Oryctolagus cuniculus: one gene and its partners. The protein of the gene in region 3 purifies or fractionates together with the protein of the main gene of each other region. This does not show direct contact. Links are inferred from orthologs where the notes say so. Each region holds a gene or a part of one and is shown on either strand. Other genes may lie near its edges.

What was found.
Region 1: the proteins of TNRC6C (region 3) and CNOT10 purify together in Homo sapiens (co-immunoprecipitation; 3 studies listed by BioGRID and IntAct, with this or other methods). This does not show direct contact. The link is inferred for Oryctolagus cuniculus from reciprocal best matches to the Homo sapiens genes TNRC6C and CNOT10.
Region 2: the proteins of TNRC6C (region 3) and protein argonaute-1 purify together in Homo sapiens (affinity purification with mass spectrometry; 5 studies listed by BioGRID and IntAct, with this or other methods). This does not show direct contact. The link is inferred for Oryctolagus cuniculus from reciprocal best matches to the Homo sapiens genes TNRC6C and AGO1.
Region 4: the proteins of TNRC6C (region 3) and protein argonaute-3 purify together in Homo sapiens (affinity purification with mass spectrometry; 3 studies listed by BioGRID and IntAct, with this or other methods). This does not show direct contact. The link is inferred for Oryctolagus cuniculus from reciprocal best matches to the Homo sapiens genes TNRC6C and AGO3.
Region 5: the proteins of TNRC6C (region 3) and PAN2 purify together in Homo sapiens (affinity purification with western blotting; 3 studies listed by BioGRID and IntAct, with this or other methods). This does not show direct contact. The link is inferred for Oryctolagus cuniculus from reciprocal best matches to the Homo sapiens genes TNRC6C and PAN2.

Annotation. Positions count from the first base shown.
Region 1 is NC_091435.1:169,315,586-169,321,515, reverse strand, and holds the start of CNOT10 (CCR4-NOT transcription complex subunit 10), read right to left. Parts: upstream 3,296-5,930; 5' UTR 3,276-3,295; coding exon 3,005-3,275; intron 1-3,004. UniProt on the Homo sapiens protein: Component of the CCR4-NOT complex which is one of the major cellular mRNA deadenylases and is linked to various cellular processes including bulk mRNA degradation, miRNA-mediated repression, translational repression during translational initiation and general transcription regulation.
Region 2 is NC_091438.1:136,728,006-136,733,212, forward strand, and holds part of protein argonaute-1, read right to left. Parts: intron 1,312-5,207; coding exon 1,152-1,311; intron 973-1,151; coding exon 882-972; intron 1-881.
Region 3 is NC_091448.1:3,394,452-3,400,458, forward strand, and holds the start of TNRC6C (trinucleotide repeat-containing gene 6C protein), read right to left. Parts: upstream 3,308-6,007; 5' UTR 3,058-3,307; coding exon 2,990-3,057; intron 1-2,989. UniProt on the Homo sapiens protein: Plays a role in RNA-mediated gene silencing by micro-RNAs (miRNAs). Required for miRNA-dependent translational repression of complementary mRNAs by argonaute family proteins.
Region 4 is NC_091438.1:136,707,650-136,713,441, forward strand, and holds the start of protein argonaute-3, read right to left. Parts: upstream 3,494-5,792; 5' UTR 3,149-3,493; coding exon 3,130-3,148; intron 1,683-3,129; exon of another isoform or gene 1,663-1,682; intron 1-1,662.
Region 5 is NC_091442.1:59,145,682-59,151,668, forward strand, and holds the start of PAN2 (PAN2-PAN3 deadenylation complex catalytic subunit PAN2), read right to left. Parts: upstream 3,775-5,987; 5' UTR 3,628-3,774; intron 3,516-3,627; exon of another isoform or gene 3,421-3,515; intron 3,024-3,420; 5' UTR 2,910-3,023; coding exon 2,628-2,909; intron 1-2,627. UniProt on the Homo sapiens protein: Catalytic subunit of the poly(A)-nuclease (PAN) deadenylation complex, one of two cytoplasmic mRNA deadenylases involved in general and miRNA-mediated mRNA turnover.

The DNA of each region.
Region 1 (5,930 bases), on a different chromosome or scaffold from region 3:
AAATAAAATTTTTAAATGCCAGCCCAAAACTAACATAAGGCAGATAAGCAGCTACCTTGAGGAAGCTAGCGGAGTCTGCTAAAGATCCAGTGGTGTGCTCAGAGTGTGAGAACCCACCAAACTGTAACACTTACAATCTTATCAGAGGGCTCTGACCCACTGCACTGGTTCATTCCCCAGATTCCCACAACAGATGCGGGAGAGGCTGGGCCAAGCAGAAGTCAGAAGCCAAGAACCCAATCCAGGTCTCCCACAGGGGTGACATCTGCTCCCACTAGGGTGCACATCCGGGGTCTGGAGAGGAGCCGGGCAAATCCAGGCATTCTGCTATGAGATACGAGGGTCCCAAGCAGTGTCTTAACTGCTAGGCCAAATGCCTGCCCCAGTCTGGGCATTTTTTGGTAACTGCCTAGAAACCCACATTCCAGGAGCATCTCGAAGAATCAGCGGTCAGAAGAGCTAACTAGGAACCGCTGGCCTAAGATGTGCCAGCAGCCAGCGGGGGTTCCCAGCCTTCCTCTTTCAAGAGCCAGTATGGTGTAAGGAAACGGGCACACGCCTTGGAACCTGTCACTCAGTCGGTACAGTCTATTCTTGGCCTGTCTTTAGCTGGAAACGCTAAATAACCACCAGCTCCCTTTCCCTCTGCCTCTGCCAGGACAACTAAGGCTTCCTATGGTTATTTTTTTAAATACACTTATGTCTGTACTTTAAACACACAAAGTGGGGGCCGGCGTTGTGCTTTGCTGCCTGCAACACCAGCACCCGTAAAGGCGTTAGTTCAGGTCCCGGCTGTTCTACTTCCGATCCAGCTTCCTTCTAACGTGCCTGGGAAAAGCAGCGGAGAATGGCTGAAGTGTTGGGGTCCCTGAACCCATGTGGGAGACCCAGAAGAAGGTCCTGGCTCCTGGCTTTGGACTGGCCCAGCTCTGGCTGGTGCGGCCATTTGGGCAGTGAACCAATGGAGGGAAGGTCTTTCTCTCTCCATCTTTCTCTTTGTAACTGACTTTTAAATAAATAAATAAATCTTTAACCACACAAATTGACAATGAAGTTAATTTAGTGTAACTTGATTACAGACCGCCTTAGATTACTGTGAAATGTCTACACCCTTCTCAAATCACATTTATACTAACAATAATCTGCTTTTGAGAACCTATCAATCTAAGAACTTATCTGCCCTATAAGAAGGGCATTCTGTGAAATGTTACTTCTTTCTTTTTTAGAAAAGATTATTTGAAAGGCTGAGTTAGGGAGGGAGAGAAGAAGGGGGAGGGGAGGAGGAGAGAGCAAGAGAGCAAGATCTTCCATTGCTGGTTCACTCTCCAAATGGCCACAAAAGGGTAGCTTTTCCAGGTGCATGGGGTGGGGGGGAGCAGGATCAAAAGTGGGGCAGCCAGTACTCAAACCTACACTCATGTGGGATACTAGTGCTGTAAGTGGCTGCTTGACCAGTTCTGGCACAACACCAGTCCCAGAAATGTTAATTCTGATAAAGTTAGCAGATAAATCAGTGTTCATGGGGCCTGCACTGCGGAGCAATGGGTTTAAGCTTCCGCCAGCGATGCCAGCATCCTAAATGAGCAGCAGTTTCAAGACCTGTCTGCTGTATTTCCAATCCAATTCACTGCTAACGTGCTGGGAAAGGCAGCGGGTGACGGCCTGAGAGTTGGAATCCTGCAACCCACATGGGAGACCTGGATGGAGTTCCAGGCTCCTTGGCCATTTGGGCAGTGAACCAGCAGATGGAACATCTCTTTCTCTTTCTGTAACTCTTTCAGATAAATACATTAACTGAAAAAAAAAAAAAAAAAAAAAGGCAAGGTATAAGTTTTAGATCGAAGCAAAATCTCCCATTCCACAAATACTCACCATAAAATTTTAAACAACGAATTTAAAAATATTTCTTAGGGGTCAGCGTAGCTGTGGCGTAGCGGGTAAAGTTGCCACCTGCAGTGCCGGCATCCCAAATGGGCACAGGTTCGAGTCCCAGCTGTTCCAATTTGAATCCAGCTCTCTGCTGTGGCCTGGGAAAACAGTAGAAGATGGCCCAGGTCCTTGGGACCCTGCACCCATTTGGGAGACCCAGAAGAAGCTCCCGGCTCCCGGCTTTGGATTGGCGCAGCTCCAGGTGTTGCAGCCATCTGGGGAGTGAACCAGCGGATGCAAAACCTCTCTTTCCCTCTGCCTCTAGTTCTCTCTCTGTGTAATTCTGATTTTCAAGTAAATAAATAATTTTTTTTTATTTTTGACAGGCAGAGTGGACAGTGAGAGAGAGAGAGAGTCTTCCTTTTGCCGTTGGTTCACCCTCCAACAGCCACCGCAGCCAGCACGCTGCGGCCACCAGCACTTTGCTGATCCGAAGGCAGGAGCCAGGTGCTTCTCCTGGTCTCCCGTGGGGTGCAGGGCCCAAGCACTTGGGCCATCCTCCACTGCACTCCCTGGCCACAGCAGAGAGCTGGCCTGGAAGAGGGGCAACCGGGACAGAATCTGGCGCCCCAACCGGGACTAGAACCTGGTGTGCTGGCGCCACAGGCAGAGGATTAGCCTAGTGAGCCATGGCGCCGGCCTAAATAACTAAATCTTAAAAAAAAAAAATATTTCTTTGAGAGGCAGAGAGAGCTCTCATCCACTGGCTCACAACCAAAATGTTCACAACGCCCAGGGCTGGGCCAGGCTGAAGCCAGGAGCTGGGATCTCAACCCGGGTCTCCCATTTGGGCAGCAGGAATCCACGCACTTGAGCCAGCATCTGCTACTCCCAGAGTGTGCCTCAGCAGGAAGCTGGGTCAGCAGCAGCCGGGACGTGAACCCAGGCACTCCAGTGAGGGATGTGGGCTTCCGGGTGGCATCCCAACCACCACGCTAAACAGCCACCCAAGATAAAAATTATGTTTGCTTATCTATGCTTCTCAAGTTTTTTTTTTTTTTAAGAGTATTCATTTTTGTAGTCAGTTTTAGAATGTTTTTTCAATGTCCATTATTTGTAACTGCTCACTTCTTACCAGACAGAGACTGCACATAATTCCACAGCGTGTCTTTATCTGTCCAAAAGTAGTCTCCATTGCCAATGGACAGAGTATACGACCGCTCATCCATAAGCTTGACCTTCCTTCTGCTCTGGCCTAAGGAGCACGGCTGACCTTCTAGGCGAACAGAGCTCTTTGACCCACAAGCCTTGACATTCTTTAAGCCAACGGACTTCATTTCTAACCAAATAATTGCTTTTTGGTTTGAACTAAGTAGAAAAGATATGTACTGCTTTTTCAAAACCATAAAAAGTCAGTTAACGGAAAGAACAGACACATTCCAGCACAGAATGTTAACCACTCAAATCTGATTGGAGGATGACTACTAGCTATAGCTCCAATGATGTTCAAGAAAAGAAAGACGTTTCCAAAGAAATGAGGAAACTGAAAGGCCTGAGGAGGATGCCTGGCCTCACGGTTGAGACTCCCATGTCTCACACGGAGCATCTAGCTTTGATCCCCAGCTCCTGAGTCCAGCTTCCTGTCCTGGGAGGCCGCAGCCACAGCTCAGTGACTGGGAACTGCCACCCAAATGGGAGATGTGGATTGAGTTTCTGACTCCAAGTTTTGGCTACAGCCCAGTACTGGCTCTTGTGGACATCTGGGAAGAGAACCAGCACATGGGAGCTCTCTTTCTAGAAAAAAAGAAAAAGGTTACCACTTCAAAAAATAAAAAATAAAAAAAATCAATTCAGGTTCACTAAAGTCACCATATAGCTAAGGTTAAGACACTTCAAATGTGGTTTCTATCATCTAAACAAGTATTTCTGACTTAACAAAACCCCACATATACTAATTTCAAAGCCAGTATTGGGGCCGGTGCTGTGGCGTAGCGGGTAAAGCCGCCACTTGCAGTGCCAGCATCCTATATGGGCACCGGTTTGTATCCCAGCTGCTCCACTTCCGATCCAGCTCTCTGCTGTGACCTGGGAAAGCAGTGGAGGATGGCCCAAGTCCTTGGGCCCCTGCACCCGCATGGGAGACCCGGAGGAAGTTCCTGGCTCCTGGCTTCAGATTGGTGCAGCTCTGGCCATTGCGGCCATTTGGGAAGTGAACCAGCAGATGGAGGGCCTCTCTCTCTCTCTCGGCCTCTCCTGCTTTGTATAACTCTGACTTTAAAATAAATAAATGAGTAAATCCTTAAAAAAAAAAAAAGCCAGCCTTGTGGTGTAGCAGGTTAAGCTCCTGCCTGCGATGCCGGCATCCCCTGCGGGCACCAGTTCCACACCTGGCTGCTCTGGCTCCATCCAATTCAGCTCCCTCCTGATGTGCCTGAGAAAACAGGGGAGAGTGGCAGTGCCTGTCACCCACATGGGAGACCCCGATGAGGCTCCTGGCTCCTGGCTTCAGCCTGGCCCAGCACTGGCTGTCATGGCCATTTGAGGAGTGAACCAGGAGATGGAAGCGCTCTCTCTTTTTTGGGTTCTCCCTCCCTCCCTCTCTCTCTCTAACTCTGATTCCAATAAGTAAATCATTTTTTATAAAGAAACTATAAAAAAGGACTAATTTCTACAAAGCTCCGAGAAGTAAAACACGACCAGTGAAGCCACGTTCTACAGTACAAGCAGTCACTAAAGCAGGTCCCCTCTACTTGAAGTTGGACAGAAGAGCTGGAGAACTGGCCCAGAGGATAAGCCAGTCATACCAGCAGCAGTGCCACAAACCGTAGCATCCTGCCAGTCACAGACCTCGAGTAACTAGGGTCAGCACGCTTGGAAGACAGGCAAAGCAGAACACTGCCACTGACAATGAGTATTCTTATCTTCCCATCTAAAAGCACTTTTTATGCATAGAAATATCTGAATTTTAGTCTAGTTGAAACATTGATACTTGAAATATTAAAGTCACAAATTCAAAAATCCTGGATATCCTTCAAACTTTCACATTCAACTTAGATATCTTATTCTATTTGAAGGTCTAATTTTGAAGGGTTGTTATAAATGTTTGAACTTTTAAAAAACCATTTGGCTTATTTGAAAGGCAGAGTTAGAGAGAGAGAGAGAGAGGGAGAGGGAGAGGGAGAGGGAGAGGGAGAGGGAGAGGGAGAGGGAGAGGGAAAGAGGGAAAGAGGGAGAGGGAGAGAGTATTTTCCATCTGCTGGTTCACTCCCCAAATGGTCACAACAGCTGGGGCTGGGCCAGGCAGAAGCCAAGAGCCCCAGACGACACGGGTGGCAGGGACCCACCTATTTAAGCCACCACTGCTGCCTCCCCGATGTGCATTAGCAGGAAGCTGGAATCAAAAGTGGCGCAGTATGTGGGTGTCCCAGATGGCAGCCTAACCGTGGCACCACAACGCCTGCCCAGAGAGCTGCTCTTCGCGGCAGAAGGCCTGCTAACAGATGCACACAGCAACAGAACCAGGGAGGTGCCCCTCTGCAATGCCCAGTCTCAAGTGGGGATGTCTGCACAATGCCTAATCGCTTCCCCAGAGAGTACTTCCAGTTGCCTGGAAAAAGATGCTCCTGTCAACCACCTTAACAAACCGACCAAATTTAGCATCACTAATAGTGGATAACCTGACTCCTACAAAGTGCTACACATCTAATAGCCCAAATAAATTTCAGTTTATGAAAATACAGGCGGTAAACAAACCAAGTAAAGGACGCCAGGAAGAAGCAGACACATCTGGAACCCTGGGATATTCTACCAGATAACTTGGTCTCTTCAAAAAGTCACTGCTGTCGGGAAATCAGAGTGGCCAGTGGAATTAAAGAGTCTCAAGAGACATATCAAAATATAATACTGTGGGGGGGGGGCGGGGGCAGGGTTGGACACCAGGCAGAGCCATTCAGCCACCGTTTGGGACACCCACATCCCACAGTAAAAAAGGCCTGGATTCAAGTCCTGGCTCTGCTTCCAGTTCCAGCTTCCTACTAATGCACACCCAGGGAGGCAGTGAT
Region 2 (5,207 bases), on a different chromosome or scaffold from region 3:
AATTCCTATCCTACCACAGAATTTACTTAATTCAACTGATAAGAACATGCTCCTGCAGTGCTATTGTGGTCCATATAAAGCACAGTGAACAAGGCCCAGCCCACAGTAGGTACTAGATAAACGTGATTTCCCCACTCCTAGCAGAGGGGCATGTAAAGGTCTGGCACTACCAGATCAAACAACAACCTCACCCAGTCCAAGGTTACTCTTTTTGTTCCACTCTACAGCTACTCTACCTAGGAACCATGACCGTAACAAGGTTCTTGTAGCCAAAGTTTAGGAAGCATGGCCACAAGGAAAACAGGGATAAAGCATATTTCAGGATTTCACTGCACTTCACAGGCTGTCTAGAGAAATGAGAGGGTTCAGGAAACAAAAGTAGCAAGGCAGGCCTGAAGCCTAGCAATTTGGAAGCCCACATGGGGCAGGGAGCGGAAAAAAGCAGGCAAAGGGACTGGAGAGACATCTAACCTATGAAATGAATTAGAAGTTGGGGTGAGCCAGAGAAAAGAACAGTCCCAGCAACTAAGTCAGTCCCTTAAAAGAGATTCTAGGCAAGAGAGGTGGTCACTCCCACATATCCCAAGAGCAGTCTTGGAGAGAAACAAAAAAATTTAAATGCAAAATACGAGTGGTGGGGAGAAAGGGGCAAGTCTTTGGTCACAGGCTATACTTTCACTATTCTCCCTGACAAAAAGACACCAAACCATACAAAGTTAACTTTAAGAAGATGACAAGGGAGGAAGCAATGGGGATGGTGAGATGGTGGAGATCTTATGAAGGGTTAAGGGCCAGAGATGAGGGAAAAGAAATCCTGCGCAGTATTTGGGACTTGGGGCCAAGAGGAGAACTTTGTGAGGAAGCTGGAAAGTATCACTCACTGCTGTAATAGAAGGTTTCTTCCCATCCCCGGCTGGGGGGTGTGTAACATCTGCTCCCAGGAATATCACTGGCTGTTGAAAGACAGCAGAGCTGAGCAAGGAAGGAAAAACAAAATGGTGAGGAATTGGGTCTTCTCTCTCTAGTACCATCCAGCACCCATTCTGGTCTTTCCCCTTATGTCTGATTCACTCTGCCTGGTCAGGATCCTATCTCTTCATTAATCCCCATATGGTACCTTGACAAGGGCAAGCAGACAACAGAGTTCATACCGCTGGTGTGGAACTAGGATGTTGTTAATGCCACCGAGTTTGACATTGATCTTGAGGCAAAGGTTGGACAGAGTCTGAGGCGAGGTCTTGACCACGTTCTTCACCTGCACACACTGTGTAGCCATTCCCAAGAGCGTATCTCCAACACGTTTCACCTCAGCTACAGGCAGAGAGAACTGGTTAGTGCACTCAACAAATATTTACTGAATGCCTATTAAATGTCAGGCAGTATATGAGGTACCAGGAAATACAATGGTGACCAGAAACACATGAAGTCCCTACTCTTAGTGTGTTTATTAAGTAGTGACTAACGTTAAAAACCATGAAAATCCCAATATAGACATATGCTACAACAAAACTTGCTGGAGCTGTAAGAATGTAGAACCAGGGACAACAACCTAGTCAGGAAAGGATGACTGGTAATGACTAAATTGAAATCTGAAGGTAGCAAAGAACACAGAAAAGAAAAGGAGGGTTGGAGAAAGTACTTCAGGCAGAGGAAAACATGGCAAAAATGCACTCTTTTAGAAGTTTGCAAAATGTTTGAGAAACTGGTAGAGCACAGTAACTACAAAGGCAAGCAAGAGGACCACGCTGTGGGAAAAAGAACAGGCTTCTGAGGCTGATCGACAGAAGAGGCGATGACAGTGTAGATTAAGAAGGCAGATGAGGGGCCAGCGTTGTGGTGTAGCGGGTAAAGCTGGTGCCTGTGATGCCGGCATCCCATATGGATACTGGTTCGAGTCCCAGCTACTCTACTTCAGATACAGCTCCCTGTTATTGCACTTGGGAAAGCAGCAAAAGATGGCCCAAGTGCTTGGGCCCCTGCATCCATATGGGAGACCCAGAAGAAGCTCCTGGCACCTGGCTCCGGTCTGGCCCAGCTCTGGGCGTTGCAGCCATTTAAGGAGTGAACCAGTGGATGGCAGATTGTCTGTCTCTCCCTCTCTCCCTGTAACTTTGACTTTCAAATAAGTAAAATAAATCTTAAAAAAAAATGCGATGAGTTGTCAAGAAACAAATAGATTAAAGAGATATTTAAGGGACTCTGTTAGACAAGATACATAAGGAAACAGATTTTTACAAATAACTTTGAAGTAGAAGACAGATTATAAATTCTTTTTGAGACATTTTGAGTTTGTGCTTTTTGATCATCCCAGCAAAGATGTCAACCAGGCAAATGGGTATAGTCGTTAGAAGCTCAACAGAGTAGTCTGAAACAGAGATACAAATTTTTGCAATATTTAGGTACAGGTAGTAAGTGAAGGCATGATATTGATGAGATCACCAAGGAGGATGGCAATGAAAAGAGAAGAGGCTTAGATAGAAATCCTGAAGAACTGTCAGAATTTGTAGTACAGGAAGATGACACCAGCCATGGAGAAAAATCCAGAGCTAGAAGGAAGTCCAAGACAGTAACTTATCATGCATGCCAAGTAAAGAAAAAAACTTTCAAAAAGAAACAGTGGTCACAAAGTCACAAGTAACTAGATCAGGTAAAACAAGGAGGAGGAATGTCTTTTGGATATAGTGATGTTGACGCAAAAGCTGTTTTGGTGATATAATGTACAAGCAGGAGATGCAGGATCAATCAAAGTGTTGGTATGTTTTCTCTGAAAGACTCACGTATGTTTAGAAAGCTAAAATGATATTTTAATTTTTTTTTTTTGACAGGCAGAGTTAGACAGTGAGAGAGAGACAGAGAGAAAGGTCTTCCTTCCATTGGTTCACCCCCACAGATGGCCGCTACAGCCGGCACACTAAGTCAGTGAGCTGTGCCGATCCAAAGCCAGGAGCCAGGTGCTTCCCCCTGGTCTCCCATGCAGGTGCAGGGCCCGAGCACTTGGGCCATCCTCCACTGCTTTCCCGGGCCACAGCAGAGGGCTGGACTGGAAGGGGAGCGACCCAGACAGAATCCGGAGCCCCGACCGGGACTAGAACCTGGGGTGCCAGCGCCGCAGGCAGAGGATTAGCCTACTGAGCTGCGGCGCTGGCTGATAATTTAAATTTCTAAGAGAGATGGAATAACCAGTGGCAAACCATTTTCTCTGTAGAGAACATTCAGAAAAGCCAGGTAAAATACAGAAACCATCTTTCTGAAGGCACCAGGTATTAAGACATAAGGACTGGAGAGGTTAGCCAGCGCCGCGGCTCACTAGGCTAATCCTCTGCCTAGCGGCGCCGGCACACCGCGTTCTAGTCCTGGCCGGGGCGCCGGATTCTGTCCCGGTTGCCCCTCTTCCAGGCCAGCTCTCTGCTCTGGCCAGGGAGTGCAGTGGAGGATGGCCCAAGTGCTTGGGCCCTGCACCCCATGGGAGACCAGGAAAAGCACCTGGCTCCTGGCTCCTGCCATCGGATCAGCGTGGTGCGCCGACCGCAGCGCGCCGGCCGCGGCGGCCATTGGAGGGTGAAGGGTGAACCAACGGCAAAGGAAGACCTTTCTCTCTGTCTCTCTCTCTCACTGTCCACTCTGCCTGTCAAAAAAAAAAAAAAAAAAAAAAGACATAAGGACTGGAGAGGTTAAAACTCCAGAGAGAGAGAGAAAATCTCAGAGGAGAGCTACCTTCAGCAGCTTCTTTTGTCCTGGGTACACTTATGGATTCTAGGTATGGGCAGCAGACTGAGAATCCAAGCTCTGCACTACCAGAGGGACTACCACCAGCAAACAAGCAACAAGAGCTTTTTGATGTTTTGAGACATCAAGACATGTACTAAATGTGAAAGTTCTAAATGTGAAAGTTTTAAAATAATGACAGTAAAAAAAAACATAGTTATTTTCATAACATTGGGATTTCTTAAATAGGACACAGAAAGTACTAGCTAGGGGGCCAGCACTGTGGCATAGTAGGTTAGGGGGCCAACTGCAATGCTGGCATCCTATATGGTCACCAGTTTAAGTCCCAGCTACTCCACTTCTGACCCAGCTCCCTGCTAATGTGCCTGGGAAAGCAGCAGATGGCCTAAGTATTTGGGTCCCTGTCACCCACATGAGAGGCTTGGATGAAGTTCCTGGCTCGTGACTTTCACCTGGACTAGCCTGGGCCGCTGTGGCCACCTGGGGAGTGAACCAACGGACGAAAGCTCTCTCTCTCTTTTCTGTTTCTCCCTTTCTCTCCATAAGCCTGCCTTTCAAATAAAATAAAACCTTAAAAAAAAAAAAAAAAAGAGTACTAGCTGAAATACTAATAAGCTGGACTATATTAAAATTAAAATGTTCTTCTCAACAAAAGATACCATTAAGAGAGTAAAAAGGCAAGTCAGAGAATATGTGTAACATACATATATATTCAATAAAGGAATGATAAAGAAGGCCTATAAATTAATAAGGAAAAGGCAGTTAAGTCAACTATTTAAAAAAAGGAAAAATTTTTCAGACTTGAGCAGGCACTTTACAAAAAAGTGCTGGTGAAATAGCCAACAGAGATGAAGACATACAATTTTATTAGTCATCAGAGAAATCAAATGAAAATCACAAGGAAAGATAGCATTAAACACTAACAAGAGTGGCTATCTAGAAAATAAAAAATATGACATTTGGTAAGGATGTGAAACATCTAGAATTCTTTCTCCTATGCTGCTGGTGGAAGTATATATTGGTATACTTAAAATCCATTCCTAGATGGCCGGCGCTGCGCTCACTAGGCTAATCCTCTGCCTGTGGCGCCGGCACACCAGGTTCTAGTCCTGGTTGAAGCGCCGGATTCTGTCCCGGTTGCCCCTCTTCCAGGCCAGCTCTCTGCTGTGGCCTGGGAGTGCAGTGGAGGATGGCAGGAAAAGCACCTGGCTCCTGGCTTTGGATCAGTGCGGTGCGCCGGCCACAGTGCGCTGGCCGCGGCGGCCATTGTGGGGTGAACCAACAGTAAAGGAAGACCTTTCTCTCTGTCTCTCTCTCTCACTGTCCACTCTGCCTGTCAAAAAAAATCCATTCCTAGATACATACTGAACAAAAACGGATATATATATTCAAAGTAGACATAGAAGTGTTCAATGAAGCATTGTTTATAATTGCCAAATACTAGAAATAATTCTAAAATGTATTTTTTTTAATTTTTTTTT
Region 3 (6,007 bases):
TCGAGAGATGGTCATGAAGGAAAAAGGACTGCGTGCCAGCAGCATGCACGCTGAGCAGTGACTAGCCCCTGAGGTGAGGGAAGGGCCTGGGGCCCAGCAGGGTGAGAGCTGGGCTGCAGAGGGTCTCTCACGCTTCCTTCAGTCTCTGTGATTCTGCGAGCTGGAAGCACGGTCAGCGGAGTGGGCTCAGCTCCAGGAGCCACTACGCTAACGCGTGCCCAAAGCTGCGATCTAATGTAGAACAGGCATGTGTGCCAGGGCTGGGCAGAGCCTCCTGACACCATCATCCACTCGCCCCTTGGCCCCAAGACATCTGTGAAGCCCGGGGTTTCACGCAAGGATAAGGGGAGAGGCCGCTTCAAGGGTTCGTGCTGAGGTGCCGGGGTGTGTAGTGATCTGGGATGCCTGCATTCCACATCAGAGTGCCTGGGTTTGAGCCCTACCTCCACCTTCCATTCAGTTTTATGCTAATGCAACTGGGAGTGCAGACAACTGCCCAAGTAGTTGGGTTCCTGCCACCCAGGGGAGATCCAGGTGGAGCTCCTGGCTCTGGCTTGCCAGCCCTGGCTGTTGTGGGTGTTTGGGGAGTGAACCAGCAGATGGTTGACTCTTTGCCTATCACCTTGCCTTTCAAATAAATAAATCAATCTTTTTAAAAAAATGTACATATTAGAGTAATAAGCTGATAAAGCACTCAAATGTTGACCTAAATAGAAAAAAATTTGACAAATTATATTGTTGCAGGAAAAACACACAGATACTAAGAGGTTTGTTGATATGTCTCATAAAAATGTGAAATATGAAAACTCTTATTTCAGCATTGAGGAAGAAAACTTATCTGAAAAATACAAATTATAGAAAAATTTTATTTTCAAACCTATACCAAGTTTAGATTGCAAAAAAAGAAAAAAAAAGTCCCGACAGAAATCCTGGAGGAACTACTTGATTAGAGAAAAGTGTCCTGTTATGCTGTTATGGGCTGCACTGTTATGACACAATTAGGCTCAGGAGCTAGCCCCTCCCTCAGCAATCAGGAACAGCACACCAACCGCTGGGCCGCGGAACCCCCCCCCCCATCCCGCCCCTTTAGAGTCACAAACTGCCCTTTCTACTTTTTAAGCTACTTCCCGCCTTTTAACAACTTGTTTTTTAAAAAAAAATTATTTATTTATTTTAAAGTCAGAGTTACACAGAGAGAGAAGAGGCAGAGAGAGAGAGACAGAGACAGAGAGAGAGACAGAGGGGTCTTCCAATTCACTGGTTCACTCCCCAGTTGGCCACAATGGCTGGAGCTGCGCTGATCCAAAGCCAGGAGCTTCTTCCGGGTCTCCCACGCAGGTGCAGGGGCCCAAGAACTTGCACCATCTTCCACTGCTTTCCCAGGCCACAGCAGAGAGCTGGATGGGAAGTGGAGCAGCCGGGACTCGAACCGGCACCATATGGGATGCTGGCACTGCAGGCGGCGGCTTTACCCGCTACGCCACAGCACCGGCCCCTTTGAACAACTGTAATACTCACAGTGTGTAGGCTGTATGTACTGCATGCCCCATGTCCAGGCACCAATTTCAAAAAGCAAATGTTTCCTAAGACTGTCATAAAGTACATCCTGCTAACTGCCATCATTTTGATTGATTTGTTTTCTAAATTTTTATTTGTTTTCATTTTATTTAAAGGCAGAGAGAGAGAGAGAGAGAGATCAGTTGATCGACTTTCCATCTCTGGCTTACTCCTCCGATGGTGGCAACAGCAGGGCTGGGCCAGGCTGAAGCCAGCAGCCATGAACCCCATCTGTGTCTGCCACGTGGGGGCAGGGGCCCAAGTGCTTGCGCCCTCACTGCTGCCTCCCAGGGCGCATCAGCCGGGAGCCGGGTGGGAACGAGAGGAGCCGGGGCTTGACCCAGGCTCTCCAAGCAGCAGCTTAGCCACTACGCCACAATGCCTACCCTGATTTCTTACAATATTACACCTAGAGTTTACCTCTCCCAAGACTTGAGCAGAATCAGGTCTAGTAACGGGTTCATACGTGTAGGGCACTGACTTACAATCTGCCCTATCGGGGAAGCAACTAGCAGTTTACCAGATCACCCTCACGACAGCCTCCGTCCTCAGAGCGGCGGATGCACAGGCGACGCGCTCTTGCCCAGACAGCGACGCTGAGGCCCTCAAATCTGCAGTGGCGGCTTTACTAGACGCGCTCTCGCAGCCTCCTGCGAGTCAAAAAGCCCGATGGGAAAACTCAGCAGTTCTCTGGACAGCCAGAGACAGTCCAAGTGTGAAGGTTTCTGATGGTCTTGCTTAATCCAAAGACAAAACTTAGACAATCAAAGAATCCTCCATAAATACCAAGTTCCAGTGGAAACACACACAAGCAAGCAGCCAGCATCGAGTTACGCAGTCTCTGGAAAACCCAAGGGCAGCAAGAACTGTAACTTACTAGGCACTGGGCTGTGCAGATCATTGAGATCCATGATCTCAGTCACTCCTCAAAGCAACCTTGTTGGAATGGACACCACCTGAGCCTTCAAGGCCACATGTGCTCACACAGTGACTGAACTGTCAGTCAAATGTCACTCACCGCATCCGCCATACTGCACAGCACCCCCAAAGAGTGCATGCTCTTGGGGCCGGGGCTGTGGCACCAGCATCCCATATGGCTGCTCCGCCTTCAATCCAGCTCCCTAGTGGCTTGGAAGAGCAGAAGATGGCCCAAGTGCTTGGACCCTGTACCTGCGTGGGAGACCGGGAAGGAGCTCCTGGCTCCTGGCTTTGCATTGGCCCAGCTCCAGTTGTTGCAGCCATTTGGGGAGTGAACCAGCGGATGGAAGACCTCTCTGTCTCTCCCTCTGTAACTCTGCTTCTCAAATAAACAAATACATATTTTAAAAAGCCTTTAAATTTCTTTTACATTTTACTTTTATTTATTTGAAAGGGAGGGAGGGAGGGAGGGAGTAGGATGGGGGGAGACAGACAGATACAAGAGCGCTCCTACCTGCTGGCTCCCTCCCCGAATGCCTGTAAGGGCCAGGGCTGGGCTGGAGCTGGGCATCTAACACTCATTCCAGGTCTCTCACATGAGTGGCAGGAACCCAACGACCTGAGCCGTCATCTGCTCCTCGAAGGGTGTGCGTCAGCAGCAAGACAGAAGCGGGGCAGAGCTGGGGCTCGAGTCCAGACACTCGGATGGAACGAGTACATCTCAGCTGGTGGCTTAAGCGCCCTCCCGCCGGCCGCCCTCCCGCCTCTCCAGTCCACGGCTGGAAGGTCTGCAGGTTCTTCCTCACGCCCACGGCCCCACACAGGGAGGCTGGGAGGTCTGCAAGGTCTTCCCTCACCCACGGCCCCACACAGGGAGGCTGGGAGGTCTGCAGGGTCTTCCCTCACCCACGGCCCCACACAGGGAGGCTGGGAGGTCTGCAGGGTCTCCCTCACACCCACGGCCCCACACAGGGAGGCTGGGAGGTCTGCAGGGTCTCCCTCACACCCACGGCCCCACACAGGGAGGCTGGGAGGTCTGCAGGGTCTCCCTCACACCCACGGCCCCACACAGGGAGGCTGGGAGGTCTGCAGGGTCTTCCCTCACACCCACGGCCCCACACAGGGAGGCTGGGAGGTCTGCAGGGTCTCCCTCACACCCACGGCCCCACACAGGGAGGCTGGGAGGTCTGCAGGGTCTCCCTCACACCCACGGCCCCACACAGGGAGGCTGGGAGGTCTGCAGGGTCTCCCTCACACCCACGGCCCCACACAGGGAGGCTGGGAGGTCTGCAGGGTCTCCCTCACACCCACGGCCCCACACAGGGATCTGGGAGGTCTGCAGGGTCTTCCCTCACCCACGGCCCCACACAGGGAGGCTGGGAGAGGGCTCCAGATGCACTCAGTGAAGCTTCTTCCCGCAGGAAGATGAGGATGCGTTCTGGGGCTAATGGCGACTCTGGGCCGGGGCACCGGCCCGCTTCTGCAGACGTCCCCAATACAGGGTGACTCTTCTGAAACAAAGCGATGCGTATACACACACATCTGAGCTTGTGTGTTAGGTGACCGAATGATACATAAGCTTGGACTCCACGGAGCATGACCAGAAGCACTTGGGTAGGGCTTCTCAAAGGAGAAGGCGGCACCAACTGCCTACGCAGCCGCAGAAGGACCTCCATTCCTGCAGGACGACGGCGCGGCACAGCTACACAGCGGCCCTTCCAGGTGGACCTGCTACAAAGCACTGCATTCTACCCAACCTAAGACGCCTCAGACAGACGACGCACAGTGCTTCTGTGCATCACTAAGAAAGAAATGCTGCCGATCACGCCCTGCTATACGCATCCCACTGGATGTAAGGCAAACAGCAATTCTGGAGATGTAAAACGTGCGAAATGTGTTTCAGGCCACAGCAGAGAGCTGGACTGGAAGAGGAGCAGCCTAGATTAGAATCCGGCACCCATATGGGATGCCAGCACCGCAGGTGGAGGATTAACCAAGTGAGCCATGGCACCGGCCCCTGAAATAATTATTTTTATAAAATTTAATATTCAGGGCTGGCGCTATGGTGTCATGGGCTAATCTTCCCCCTGCAGCACCGGCATCCTATATGGGCACCAGTGGAGTCCGGCTGCTCCTCTTCCAATCCAGCTCTCTGCTATGGCCTGGGAAAGCAGTGGAGGATGGCCCAAGTCCTTGGGCCCCTGCACCCACGTGGGAGACCTGGAAGAAGCTTCAAGCATTGAAGTCTCAGAATTCTGCCACCACCAGTTTCCTTTCATCACCTCAAAAGTTTTCTCCCGATTGTCCTCACCCTTCTGGATGAAATGAGTCATTATTTGTTCTAAAAGAAAAAATGTTTTTAAAAATTATAATTGTTTTAAACCTACAAATTAATTTTTAAAAGATTTATCTATTTATTTACTTGAAAGAGTGACAGAGAGGAAGAGAAACAGAGAAAGATCTTCCATCTGCTGGTTCGCTCCCCACATGCACCCAACAGCCAGGGCTGGACCAGGCTAGAGGCAGGAGCCAGGAGCTCCATCTGGGTCTCCCACGTGGGTGCAGGGGCCTGAGGACTTGAGCCATCTTCTGCTTTCCCAGGCCACAGCAGGGAGCTGGATCAGAAGTAGAGCAGCCGGGTCTCGAACAGCACCCATGTGGGATACCAGTACTTCAGGCCAGGGTGTTCACCCATTGCGCTACAGTGCTGCCCCCCCCCCCCCCTTTAAGATTTATTCATTTATTTTGAAAGTCAGAGTTACAGAGAGAGAGAGAGAATCTTCCATTTGCTGGTTTACTCCCCAGATGGCCACAATGGCCAGCTCAGGGCCAAGCTGAAGTCAGGAGCCAGGAGTTTTATCTGCGTTTCCCATGTGGGTGCACAGGTCCCAATACATGGGCCATCTTCCATTGCTTCCCAGGCCATTATCAGGGAGACGGATTGGAACTGGAGCAGCAGGAACACCCCACGTGGGGCAGCAGAGTCCCAGGCAGCAGCTTTACCCGCGACATCACAGCGCCAGGCCCCAGCAGGCACAATTCTAAGACCCCTCCAAGAGTCCAAGTCCACAGTCAACATACCCTCTCCCGCATATTCAATCAAACAAATTCAGGTACTGTTTTGAAGGTATTTTAAAATATGTAACTCAAATCCCAAGTCAGATACACCATCCAGGTAGGCTTGGTGACCTTAAATCTCAGCTTAGAGGTCGGAGAGAGATGGTCTCGAAAGCTGAAGCCTAAGAAAGCGTGGGCACACAGCTGCTGGTTTGGAGACGACGAGCAGGAAGCACGGAGCGCAGCTGCGTCAAGGCGCTGAGAGCCGCTCCACCGGCAGCCGGCCAAGAGCTGGGGTCTGCAAACAAGCTGGGAAGCTGATTCTTCCACAGAGCCTGCTCACACCTTGACCCCGGCTGTTCAGCGTCACAGACAGACACCCAGTCACCCCACGCCAGCCTCCGGCCTGCAGACTGTGGACTAACATTATCTGCTTTTTGAATCTCCAAGGTTGTGGTGACCCGTCATACAGCAA
Region 4 (5,792 bases), on a different chromosome or scaffold from region 3:
GCCGCTAGGCGGAGGATTAGCCTAGTGAGCCGCGGCGCCGGCCCTGATTCACTTTTGCAAGACCATGTATGAAGCAACTATCAATGAATGGCACATGGTGGGTTAATTTACCGCATGCCACACTGGCATCCAATATGAACCCCAGTTCAAATCCAGTTGCTCCATTTTAGATCCAGCTCCCTGCCAATGTGCCTGGGAAAGCAGCAGAAGGTGGCCCAAGTGTTTGGGCTCCTGTCACCCATGGGGTGACCTAGATTGAGTTCCAGGCTCCAGGCTTTGACCTGGCCCAGCCCCAGCCATTGCCACCATTTGGAGAGTGAATCAGCAGGTAGAAGAGCTCTCTCTTTAACTCTGCCTTTCAAATAAATAAATCTTAAACAAACAAACAAAAAGCCAACTAGCAAACTTTACATCAATTTGCATATTATTAATTCAGGGTAAAAGTAAATATTTCCCTTCCATTATTAAGTATAACTCCTTCCATTCTAAACAATAGTCTGACTTAACCTAAAAATAGAATAGTATGTTCTAAAAAACAAGCACCTAGACATGATATCTCAAGGAACATTTCTGCTGTCCCTATTCCCGCTTTGTTTGAACAATCTATCCTTTTAGTTTGGCTGCAATTAGACCATAAACAAACAGGGTTTCATCACAAGTTCCCCTAAGGAGTCACAGGTACAGACGCTAAACTACTATTATTATTTTAAAAACTATGTCAGTTTTTTTTTGTTAAAGCAAAGTTCAGACAGTACTGAATCAGTAGACTATATGACATATTTAAGAATCATTTAAAATATTTCATGTGAAAGGGAAGAACAGACAAATATTGACTTTTAGTGAGGAATGATTCATCAAGAAACAATTTCACGGGGCTTGGCATTGTGGCACAGTGAGTTAAGCCACCACCTGTGAGTGCTGGTTTGAGTCCCAGCTGCTCCATTTCCCATCCTGCTAACATCCCTGGGGAAGCAGTGGAAGATGGCTTGGGTCCCTGTCACCCATGTGGGAGATCCAGATGCAGTTTGACTTTGGCCTGGCCTGGCCCCGGCTGTTATAGGCATTTGGGGGAGTGAACCAGCGTAGGAAAGACCTCTCTCTCTCTTTCTCTCCCTAACTCTGCCTTTCAAATAAATACATAAATAGAAGAGGCAATTACATGGTATCTGTATCTGAAGTCCTCTAACATACTGAATAGTTTTCTACGTGTCAGTGTAACAACTAGAATTTAAAATATCCTATCATAACATGACACCTGAAAATCTCCACACACACAAAGTCACCAAGATTTAATACCAACCAAATATTCTATTAGAGAACACTTACAACTAAACAATTTGAAACTACATATGTATCTCAAACTCTGGATTTAAAAGTTAGCTGCACATGCTTCTCCATTATGCTTTCAACTTCCCATTCAGCATAACAATTACATATAATTCTCAGGAAAAAATTAAAGTTTTGTTTTTGATGACAATCTTGAGCCAAAGCATAGCTTGTTAGACTACAGTCAGTAACATATAAACTGCACTGAAGAATAACTTTACGTTTCAAGATGGACAAGTGCATGATTGATGAATCCATAATTTCACAGCTAACTGGGTATATATTTCAGCAATGGGCACCCAAAAAGAAGAGATAAAACTTTTTTCAGAGCCATACTTAGCTAGTTGCACCAGTTAAGTAGATGGTTTGATGGCACAAGTATCTTCCCAGATGTTGCCATTTATTTGGGCATAATTTCATATGAAAAAAAGAAAGGAGAAAGCCATTTCAAAAATTTTCTAAATATCATTAAAAATTATAGGATGATTAATAAAATATTTAACTTTCATGCTTTTTCAGGCTTGAAAACAGGACAGTTATGGAAAACTCATCTATAGCCCTAAACCAGCTTTCCTGCACAGTAAAAACAAATCCTGAGGTAGAATATTTCAAAACAAGGGCAGACACAGTTTTGGAAGCAAATTATTAAAAATTAAGAGGCTGAAACAAATTTTCTATTTTCAAGAGGATATGGAGAAAATTCCACTTAATCAAACTTATAATAAACTCTCCCAGCCCACACCCACCATTTCTGACTGCTTTATTAAAGCCATTTGACAATAACACTCCATAACCTATTCAACAAACTATTTATCTTTATGTCATTGGTTCCTTTTACATAAGCTTTTGCTGTGTTCAGGTACCTCTCAAGTTTAGCAAAAAGAGATGTGAAACTCAGGATTGTAATAATATTAGCAATGATACCCTACCTCAAATATTTCAAATATTAATTTATAAACTATCACCTGGATGAAGCAGACATCCAAAACTGACATACCAAGCATGATCATTTGGTAAACAAACCGTTATGTAATACCTACTTTATATCCCTAACTAATTACTTTAGAACCACAGAGACTGCCTTTGCTTTTTAAAAGACAAGTACTGTCCTTGTTGCAATTTTCCCTCAAGACGCCCCTGTTTCCCTCAGGGAGAGAAGGTAGTTTTTCTAAAATCCAAATTTCCAAGAATCTGATAACTGCTTCTCTAGGTAATGGAGCCTGGAGAGGTGGTGGTGGGGGATGCTATCAGCGATTTTAAGACCCATCTCCTAAAAGCAGCGATCCAGGACGTTTCCAAAGCAGCTCGAAAACTCTCCATGCAGCCAGAGGCACCGGCGGGGCGCTCGGGGACGACAGCAATGCCATCTTGCGCTGGCCGTGGCAGCAACACCGATCTCACACCCAATTCTCCTCGGTCACCTCCATGTGCCTCCCCAGCTACCTTCAGAGGCAGGTGAGGCGGCGGCGGGACACGCAGCCCGGTTAAAGGACACGCACCCCGCCGCACCGTCAGCTGGCCTAACAGCCGCGACGGGTGCGGAGACGGGCACCGCGGAAAGGAGGAGTCACCGCGCCCACAGAACCCCGCTCTGAACCCTCCGAGCAGGTTCGCCCAACTCGGTGGCCCCCAGGGACCTGCGGCGGCGCTGCGGGAAAGCCGCGGAGGGGCGGGAGACGGAGGACGCAGGCACCGCGCTCACGTCGCCCACCTGGGCCGGGGCAGGGGGAGCCGCGAGGCTCGGGGTGGGGGAGCCGCAGAGGGGTGACGCCGCCACGCACCCGGCAGCTCTGACTCACTCACCTGCGGAGCCGATTTCCATTCATGGAGCTGGGGGGAGTGCTTCCAGCGAGAACGGGGCCGCCACTGGGGGCCAGGAGGCGGTGCCGGGGGGCGACGCGGCGCGACACGCACCCTTCCTCTGCCCCGAGGCGGGGGCGGCGGCGGCTTCCCCTCAGCACCCGCACTCCGAAGGCGCTCGGCCGGAAGAGCCGCCGTCGAGAGACAGCACTGGACTAGACCAGAGGAAGGAGAGACGTGAGGCGAGGAGAGGGGAGCCCTGTCCGGAACTTGCGTCGCCCGCAGCCGCTGACGCTCCCGCCGCTCCTCCACGACTGCGGGCCGCCGCCGCCGCCGCCGCTCTCCCCGGGGCCGTCCCCGGAAGCCCGCCGGCGTCAGTTCCGCTGCCCGGCTCGCCCCGCGTCCACGCCTCGCCTCGCCTCCGGGACCCGAGCGGTGCGGGAGCGGCCAGCGCGGAGGACGCCGGGGAGGTGTCAGGGCGCGGGCGCCGAGCAGTCCCCGGTGGGAGACCGCCGCACGTCGCGCGCCACCCTGGTGAGGGCGGTGCCCTGCCTGAGGCGACATAGCTGCGGGCCCCAGCTTACCTGAGGAGCGCCTACCTGGAGCAGCCGTGCCTGGCCGGCTGCGGTCCCGACCCGCCTCCCGACCCTCCCGGCCGCGCCCAGCTGAGGCGTCCCGCGCGCCGCTGCCTCGCAGGCGGTCACGCCTGCGAGTGATGTCCGAGCCCATAGCGTTGTCTTAACGACCTTCTCCCCCACCCCCCGCTGGGGGGGGGGGGCGGAAATATACAATACGGTTTGGGAAACAATGATTAAGAAAGAAGCTGTTACATAATTTGCACGTTTAAAACTTTAATAGCGCCTCGTCGCACTGAACAACCCAAACTCCTTTCGGGGTTAAAACGCCGTTCTGCTGAAACTCACAGTCTGCCTCTTGACTGTGCGGTAGCTACACCGGTCTGCGTCCAGTTCCCCCAGCCGGTCAAGTGCTGCTTTTGATCTGACTTGGAGCCTCTTGGCTTCTGGTTCCCTTGGCCAGGAACCCTCTCCTCCTCCCTTTGACTTACTGCACACACGCACGCAAGCACGCACGCCCCTCGCTGCTTCTCATGTGCCAGTCATCTCGGAGCGCTCTTTCCTGGACCACCCGTTACTCTCAAAATCCTCCCCCGAGTCTAATTCGTTTAGTTTACTTCATCCAGTGCTCCTCCCTTCCCGCACTAGAACGTATGTTTTGTTAAGAAAACCAGGTCCAGCCATTGTCAGGCAAATAGTCGGTCCTTAATACTTGTTGCCTTAATGAAACATGATACAATTTTGTACAGGCTAAGCAATGACTCATGGTTTTCCCTATGTCCCTAAGCATCAGTAATGTTTAGACTTTGTTTAATCTAAACTCATTGACTTTTTAAAAGGAAAGTTTTTTTTTAAAAATTCTATCTTCATATCTTCATCTCCCACCCCCTCGGTGTGGGACTTTGGAACAGTCACTTGACCTCTTTAGGCCTCAGTTTCCTCATCTAAAAAACGGGAATAACAGCAGGTACCTTACCAGTTGCTGAGGTTAGGGAACAAAGAACAATGAAAACTCCCTGAATGTTATAAGTAACAAAAGCATTTGCTGTAGTCACCACTCGAAGCACTGATTAGCTACATCTACCATATAATAAATACATAATAATTGGAGGAAACTGAAAACCTTGACCCCAATTCTGCATCTTCTTCCTTCAGATCCCTACCCCCCGTGACTGAAAATACCCTCCCCATTTTTAAAATATCAAAATAAATGTCACCAGATGAAACACTCACTGCATCCTAAAAGTCATTTTCAATTATTGTACACAACCCAAATCTTGGTGGCAACATCTTACAGGGGAAATATCAACTCTGCAAGGGTCTATCACATCCTTAAGACACAAACCTCGTGTCAAAAATTTTTTCCCCAAACGAGTGCAAACTTCCTTAGCTTCTCCCAGAAGACATGGTGATGAACCCTCAAGGGGAGCTACTATCATTCTGACACTGATGGAGCAGGATTTGAACACTGATTCAATCCAACTGAATAAAAAAAAAAAAAAAAGATTTGAATGAAAGGTAGTGACAAAGAAGTCTTCCATATTTACTGGTTCACTCTGCAAATGCCTGCCATAGCCAAAGCTGACCCAGGCTGACACAAGGACAATGGAACTCCAGCCACGTTGCCCATGTGGGTGGCAGGGACCCAAGCACTGGGGTCATTGTGTGCTGCCTCCCAGGTGCATCAGCAGGAAGCAGCATCAGAAGCACAAGGTAGCCAGCACTCAACCCAGGCACTCCTTCCCTACGTGGAATGCAGCGTCCCAAGCAGCCCCTTATCCTGTTGCACCATGACATCCATTCAAGTCTCTAAACAACTACATGTCTTCCTATCTACTTCTGCGATCCAAGACTCTTTAGAAATGAGCCCCGCAGGGCTGGCGTTGTGGCATATTGGGTAAGGCCACTGCCTGCAACATGGGCATCCCATATGAGCACCTGTTTTGAGTGCCAGCTGCTCCACTTCTGATCCAGCTCCCTGCTAATGTGTCTGGGAAAGCAGCAGAGGATGGCTGGAGTGTTTGGGCTCCTGCACCCACATGGGAGACCTTGAAGAAGCTCCTGGCTTCAGATCAGCCCAGCTCTGGCCAT
Region 5 (5,987 bases), on a different chromosome or scaffold from region 3:
GTTTCAGTGAAACATGTTAAGGGCAATGAAGCCTTATTTCCTTCCCTAGCTCAGCTTCAGACTTAGAGGATCCAAATGCCTACTAAACATCATCTCCCCTTGGACAGCCCGGAGAACCTCAAATTCATTACATTCTTAATGACATTCACCACTTGGATCCCATTTTAATTCTTCGTACTATATTCTCTATGTTACCTGATCCACTCAGTTGACTAAGTCATAGAATAGTCAAGTCCGGTTTATTTCACTTTCTAAATATTTCCCAAGTCCGTTCTTATGTACCCATCTTAGCAGTGCATCCTTCAGGCCTTCATTCCTGCTGTTTATGTTTTTCTTTTTTTTGGAGGGGAGGCAGAGTGACACAGAAGGAGAGACAAAGACGTCTTCCATCCGCTGGTTCACTCCATAAATGCCTGTAACAGGCAGGGCTTGGCCAGGCTGAGCCCAGGAGCCAGGAACTCCAGGTCTCTCTCATGGGTGGCAAGGAATCAAGTACTTCAGCTGTCACTCATTGTTCTCCCAGGGTGGACATTAGCAGGAAGCTGGATGGGAAGCAGAGGTGGGACTGGATCCCAGGCACTCTGATATGGGATGTGGGAATCCCAAGTGACAGCTTAGTCTGCTGGGACACAATGCCCACCCCCTTTGTCACATTTTATGTGAGCTGCTACAGTAGTCTGCTCCATCTTCTTTAAGCCAAACTATATGCTGCTACTTCAGCATTCCACCTAGAGGCAAGCCACACCTTGTCATTCCAGATAGAAATCCGGGATGATCAAATCTAAACTCTTTCAACACAGCATATGAAGCTCCCTAGAAGGTTCTTTCTCCAAATATCTGCATGGTTCCTTCTCTTCCTTCTAGAAAACATAGAATGGTCATCCTAGCCTGGATCCAGGTCTCTCTACTCAAGGGTGACTCTATCAGACATCTTCTGATCTAAAATAGTACCATCTCCCACCCCTCACTGTCTCACCTCCCTAACTACACTGTAATTTTTTTTTAGTACAAACCAACATCTGAGAATATTGTATTTTTTTAATTTGTTTACTGCTCATTCCAAACTTAAAACCTTATAGCAGGGTTTGGCACCAAGCAGGTAGCTCAAAAAGCAGTCAGGTATCACTTCCTGAAGTAAAGTGAAGGAAGGCCCTCTCTGACCCTGCAGTAACTATTTTCACACTGGCATTTAGCACCATGGAATTATCTGTTTAAATCTTTTCTTCTTCAGTGTCCCATAAAGTCCTCAAGGGAAAGGATTCTGTTTTACTCAGCTTTCTTCTCTGCCTAGATACTGCCTACTAAACGGAATAAGTCACAAAGAAAAAAATCCATCCCTTCTAATGGAAAAACAATTCATGTCCTGTAAAAGGTAAATTAGGGGCCAGTGCTATGGCATAGCAGGTAAAGCCGCTGCCTACAGTGCCAGCATCCCATAAGGTAAATTAGTAAACAATGGGCAGCACATTATTATTATTATTTTAAGATTTATTTATTTACTTGAGAGGCATAGTTACAGATAGAAAGAGGGAGAGACAGAGAGAAAGGTCTCCGATCCACTGGTTCACTCCCCAAATAGCCGCAATGGCCAGAGCTGGGTGGATCCAAAGCCAGAAGCCGGGAGCTTCTTCCTGGTCTCCCACTTGGGTGCAGGGGTCCAAGGGCTTAGGCCATCTTCTACTGCTTTTCTAGGCCATTAACAGGGAGCTGGATTGGAAGTGGAGCAGGTGGGACTCAAACCAGCACCTATACGGGATGCTGGCACTGCAGGCTTAACCTACTACACCACAGCGCCGGCCCCAAAGCATATTATTTCTTACAAAATCTATGGCTCCATAATATATTGGCAATATGGAAACATATTTTTAAAAATTGCATTGATGGGCTGGCGCTGTGGCACAGCAGGTTAAGCCATGGCCTGAAGCACCCACATCCCATATGGGTGTCAGTTCCAGTCCCAGCTGCTCCACTTCTGATCCAGCTCCCTGCTAGGTGCCTGGGAAAGCAGTGGAAGATGGACCAAGTCCTTGGGCCCCTGCAACCTCATGGGAGACCTGAATGAAGCTCCTGGCTTTGGCCTGGCCCAGCCCTAGTCTTTGTGGCCATTTGGGGAGTGAACCAGCAGATGGAAAAATCTCTGTCTGTTTCTCCTTTTCTCTCTGTAACTCTGCCTTTCAAACAAATAAATCTTTTTTTTTTTTTTAAATCACATTGATAACTTCTCTGAGATTAAATCAACCTGAGAAGACAAAACAATTCCTTGTAAGGTATACAGACACATTCGCTAAACATTCTATAATTATAAACATGGAAAACAGAGAAAGCCATTAGAGATTAGGTTTAGGTGGCTATAGTCTAACTGATGGGTAATTATCAAGATTAATCAAAACAAGAAGGGCAAACAGGCTAAAGTAGGATGCCTCCTGAGAACGAATATCTGTGTAACTCATCCCTGGATCCTAGGCCCCCCGTTCTGCCTCCACCCTCTGGTCTGGATTTAGAGCCCCAGCTAACTCACTCATCATTTCCACTCAGTTCTAACTCTGGGCAAAGCAGCTCTCCTTGGGCAGAGACCAGAGACTGCCAGCAGCTCCTTTCACTCCCCCACAAAGGGATACAGTTCTTACCCCGTGGCTCCCCACCCACAGCATCTCCTCGTGCAAGTCAAAGTGAGAGACGGAGACAGGCACGCCCACTTCAGCCACCACGCTGTGCAGCTCAGAGTAGACGCCTTCCATTATGTGCACCGACTCCTGGACGGGAAGAGCCTCCAGGGCTACTCCCTCCGGGTCCAGCTCCACATTCTGTAGCAGACTCGGGTTCAGGTGGGCATCCAGGACAGGGTCCAGGGTGGAATGCATAGCCGGAGCATACTCTGCCAATCCAGGGTCCAGACCCTCAAAGTTCATGATGCAGGCAGCTGATCAGACCTGTGTCGCACCCTCCCTTGCCACAGTCCCTTTAGATGCCGGGCCCAGCCTTCAGCCAGACAGCACCAGAGGGCCTAGACTGAACATCCTGGCCTGCAAAGGGAAAGAGGTTAACTGAGTCACGGGTAGGCCTGGGTACTGGTCCTAGGTTATGCGGGCAGGGGTGCCGCGAGGCTGGCGGAAGGGATGAGATGGCAGGGAGAGGACGAAGCAGGCAGGCAGGGGTGGGGAGGTGGGAACACTTATCCTTATTCTCCTCTGGGCCCTCTCTTCTCACCGCCCTGCTGTCCGACCTCATCCTTGCTTTCCCTCCCTCCTCCCTCAGACCCGCTCATTCGGGAGACTTCAACCCTGGGACAGGTGAAGGCAGCGGGAACCATAGCGGGTAGAGCTAGGTTGAGGGGTCCAAGGAGCTTTTCCCCCAGAACTGGCTTTGAGTGGTGAGGGGAACTAGAGATGTCAGTTTCCCAGAATCCTAAGCAATAGTTACCCAGGATTCTTTGGGGAAAACAAGAATGGCCACTTATGCACGAGTAGGGTGGGGGTAGGGGAGGGTGATGGAAACGGATAGCTACCCAGAATTCTCTGGGGGAACCTGAGAAATCGGTTACCCAGAATTCTCCCCCGGCGGCGGGGAGGAGATTAGGGCAAGGGTCAGATGTGTTCCTGGGATGCCTACGGGGGAATGGGTCATTACCAAGATTTCTCCATGGCGGATATTTTGGAGCGCGTGGAATTAAAACGAGTAGTACGAGAGCAAGCGCCGTCAGCTACGTGGGAAATTCCAATTTCCCTAGTTCTCCCCCGCGCCTCCAGCTCAACCGAACTTTACGGCGGGAAGAAGGGCGGGTTCATAGTTGCCGCTGCCAATCAGGAAGGGCTTGGGACATGTCGAAGCCAATCGGAAGGAGCCAGGTACTGACGGCCCCGGAGAACGTGTGTGACGCAAGAGCGAGGCGAAACGGAGTTACGGTGTGCCGATGGGGACAAGTGGAGGCGGGCCCGGCGTTTCCGTGGTGTGAAAAGTAGTTTCTTGCTTAACCCTATTTGAATGAAATTAGCCCTAGACTTAGAAGCCGAGCCTTTATGCTCTCTGTAACTTTAGAAAGTCAGACTGAGGGGCGCCCAAGGCAGGGTGCTGGCCGGCGATTCCTGGGTATTCCCGGCGTGGCTTGGTCCACCCCCTCTCCAAGCGGCGCTCCTGTGAGCCACCCCGCCACTTCTGACCCTGCTGCCCCCGAAACTCGCTGGTATTTCCTATCATGTGTAGATATGGGTGAGAAAAAAGGAAGCAGGAGCCACACTCCTGACATGGCCCAAAAGCATCCATCTAAAATTCCCATCGGTGACTGCTTGCTCCCCAGAGGCCCCGTAATATTCCCAGTGAATAGGGCTCCCCAGCTGACAAATTCCCCTAGCTGGTGCAGTAGTCCCTCAGAGGGAAGGGGGCACAGCCAACGGGGACGTTTGCCTTCCGAACACGCATAGGATTTACCAACAGAAAACGCTGAGGGATTCTCGGGGCCAGTGAGCTTGAAAGACTCCAGGTTGGGAGATGTCTCTGGGCACTTTTTACTGTTTCTAAAGGCCATGGAGAGGGACTCAGTGGAAGACACGCTTTGTGGAGGATGCAGGTTTAAAATATTTGGACCGGGGGCCCACGCTGTGGCGAAGCGGGTTAACGCCCTGGCCTGAAGCGCCAGCATCCCATATGGGCGCCGGTTCTAGTCCCGGCTGCGCCTCTTCCGATCCAGCTCTCTGGTATGGCCTGGGAAAGCATTAAGAAGATGGACCAAGGCCTTGGGCCCCTGCACCCGCGTGGGAGACCCTGAAGAAGCTCCAGGCTTCAGATCAGCGCCGAGTGGACCAGCGAATGGAAGACTCTCTCTTCCGTCTCTTTCTCTGTATAACTCTTTCAAATAAATAAATCTTTTTGAAAAAAAATAAAGTATTTAGACCTTCATAAAAAGACCCAAGAATTTAAACTTCTCTAGGACTCAAAGGGGTTCCAGACCAAGAGGAAAATACCCGAACTCAGAGGTCTCTCAAACTCATCTGACACAGGTGCTTAGATGTCAAAATCCTATAAGGAGTGGGAATTTGGCTTAGTGGTTAAGATTTTAAAAATACTTATTTATTTATTTGACAGGCAGAATCACAGAGGAGAGGTATAGGCAGGGACAGAAGTCTTCCATCTGCTGGTTCACTCTCCAAATGGCCACAAAGACCAGGGCTGGGCTGGACCCAAGCAGGAGCCAGGAGCTTCATCCAGGTCTCCCACAAAGGTGCAGGGGCACCAGCACTCAGGCCATCTTCTGTTAGCAGGGAACAGGATCAGAAGTGGAGCAGCCAGGGATCAAACTGGGGCCCTTCTGGGATGCTGGCACTGCAGGCAGCGGCTTAACCCGCTGTGCCAAAGCACAGGTCCCAGATGCTCGCATTCTATATCAAAATGGTTGGGTTCAGGCCGGTGCCGCGGCTCAATAGGCCAATCCTCCGCCTGCGGCACTGGCACACTGGGTTCTAGTCCCAGTTGGGGCACCAGATTCTGTCCCAGTTACTCCTCTTCCAGTCCAGCTCTCTGCTATGGCCCAGGAGTGCAGTGGAGGATGGCCCAAGTCCTTGGGCCTAGCACCCGCATGGGAGACCAGGAGAAGCACCTGGCTCCTGGCTTTGGATCAGTGCAGTGCGCCGGCCGCAGCGGCCATTGAGGGGTGAACCAACAGCAAAGGAAGACCTTTCTCTCTGTCCCTCTCTCTCACTGTCCACTCTGCCTGTAAAAAAAAAAAAAAAAAAAAAAAGGTTGGGTTCAACACATGGCTTCACTTCACTCCTGACTCCAACTTTGTGCTAATACAGACCCTGGGAGGCAACAGAGATGATCCAAATTATTGGGTTCCTGCCACCCAAGACCTGGATTGAGTTCCAGCCTCCCAGCTTTTCCCCCAAGTAAGGGTCATTGGGCATTTGGAGGAGTGAATCAGCAGAGATGGGAGCTCTTCTCTCTCTCTCAAAAAAAGGGGCTAGCGTTGTGGTGCAGTGGGTTAATGCCCTGGC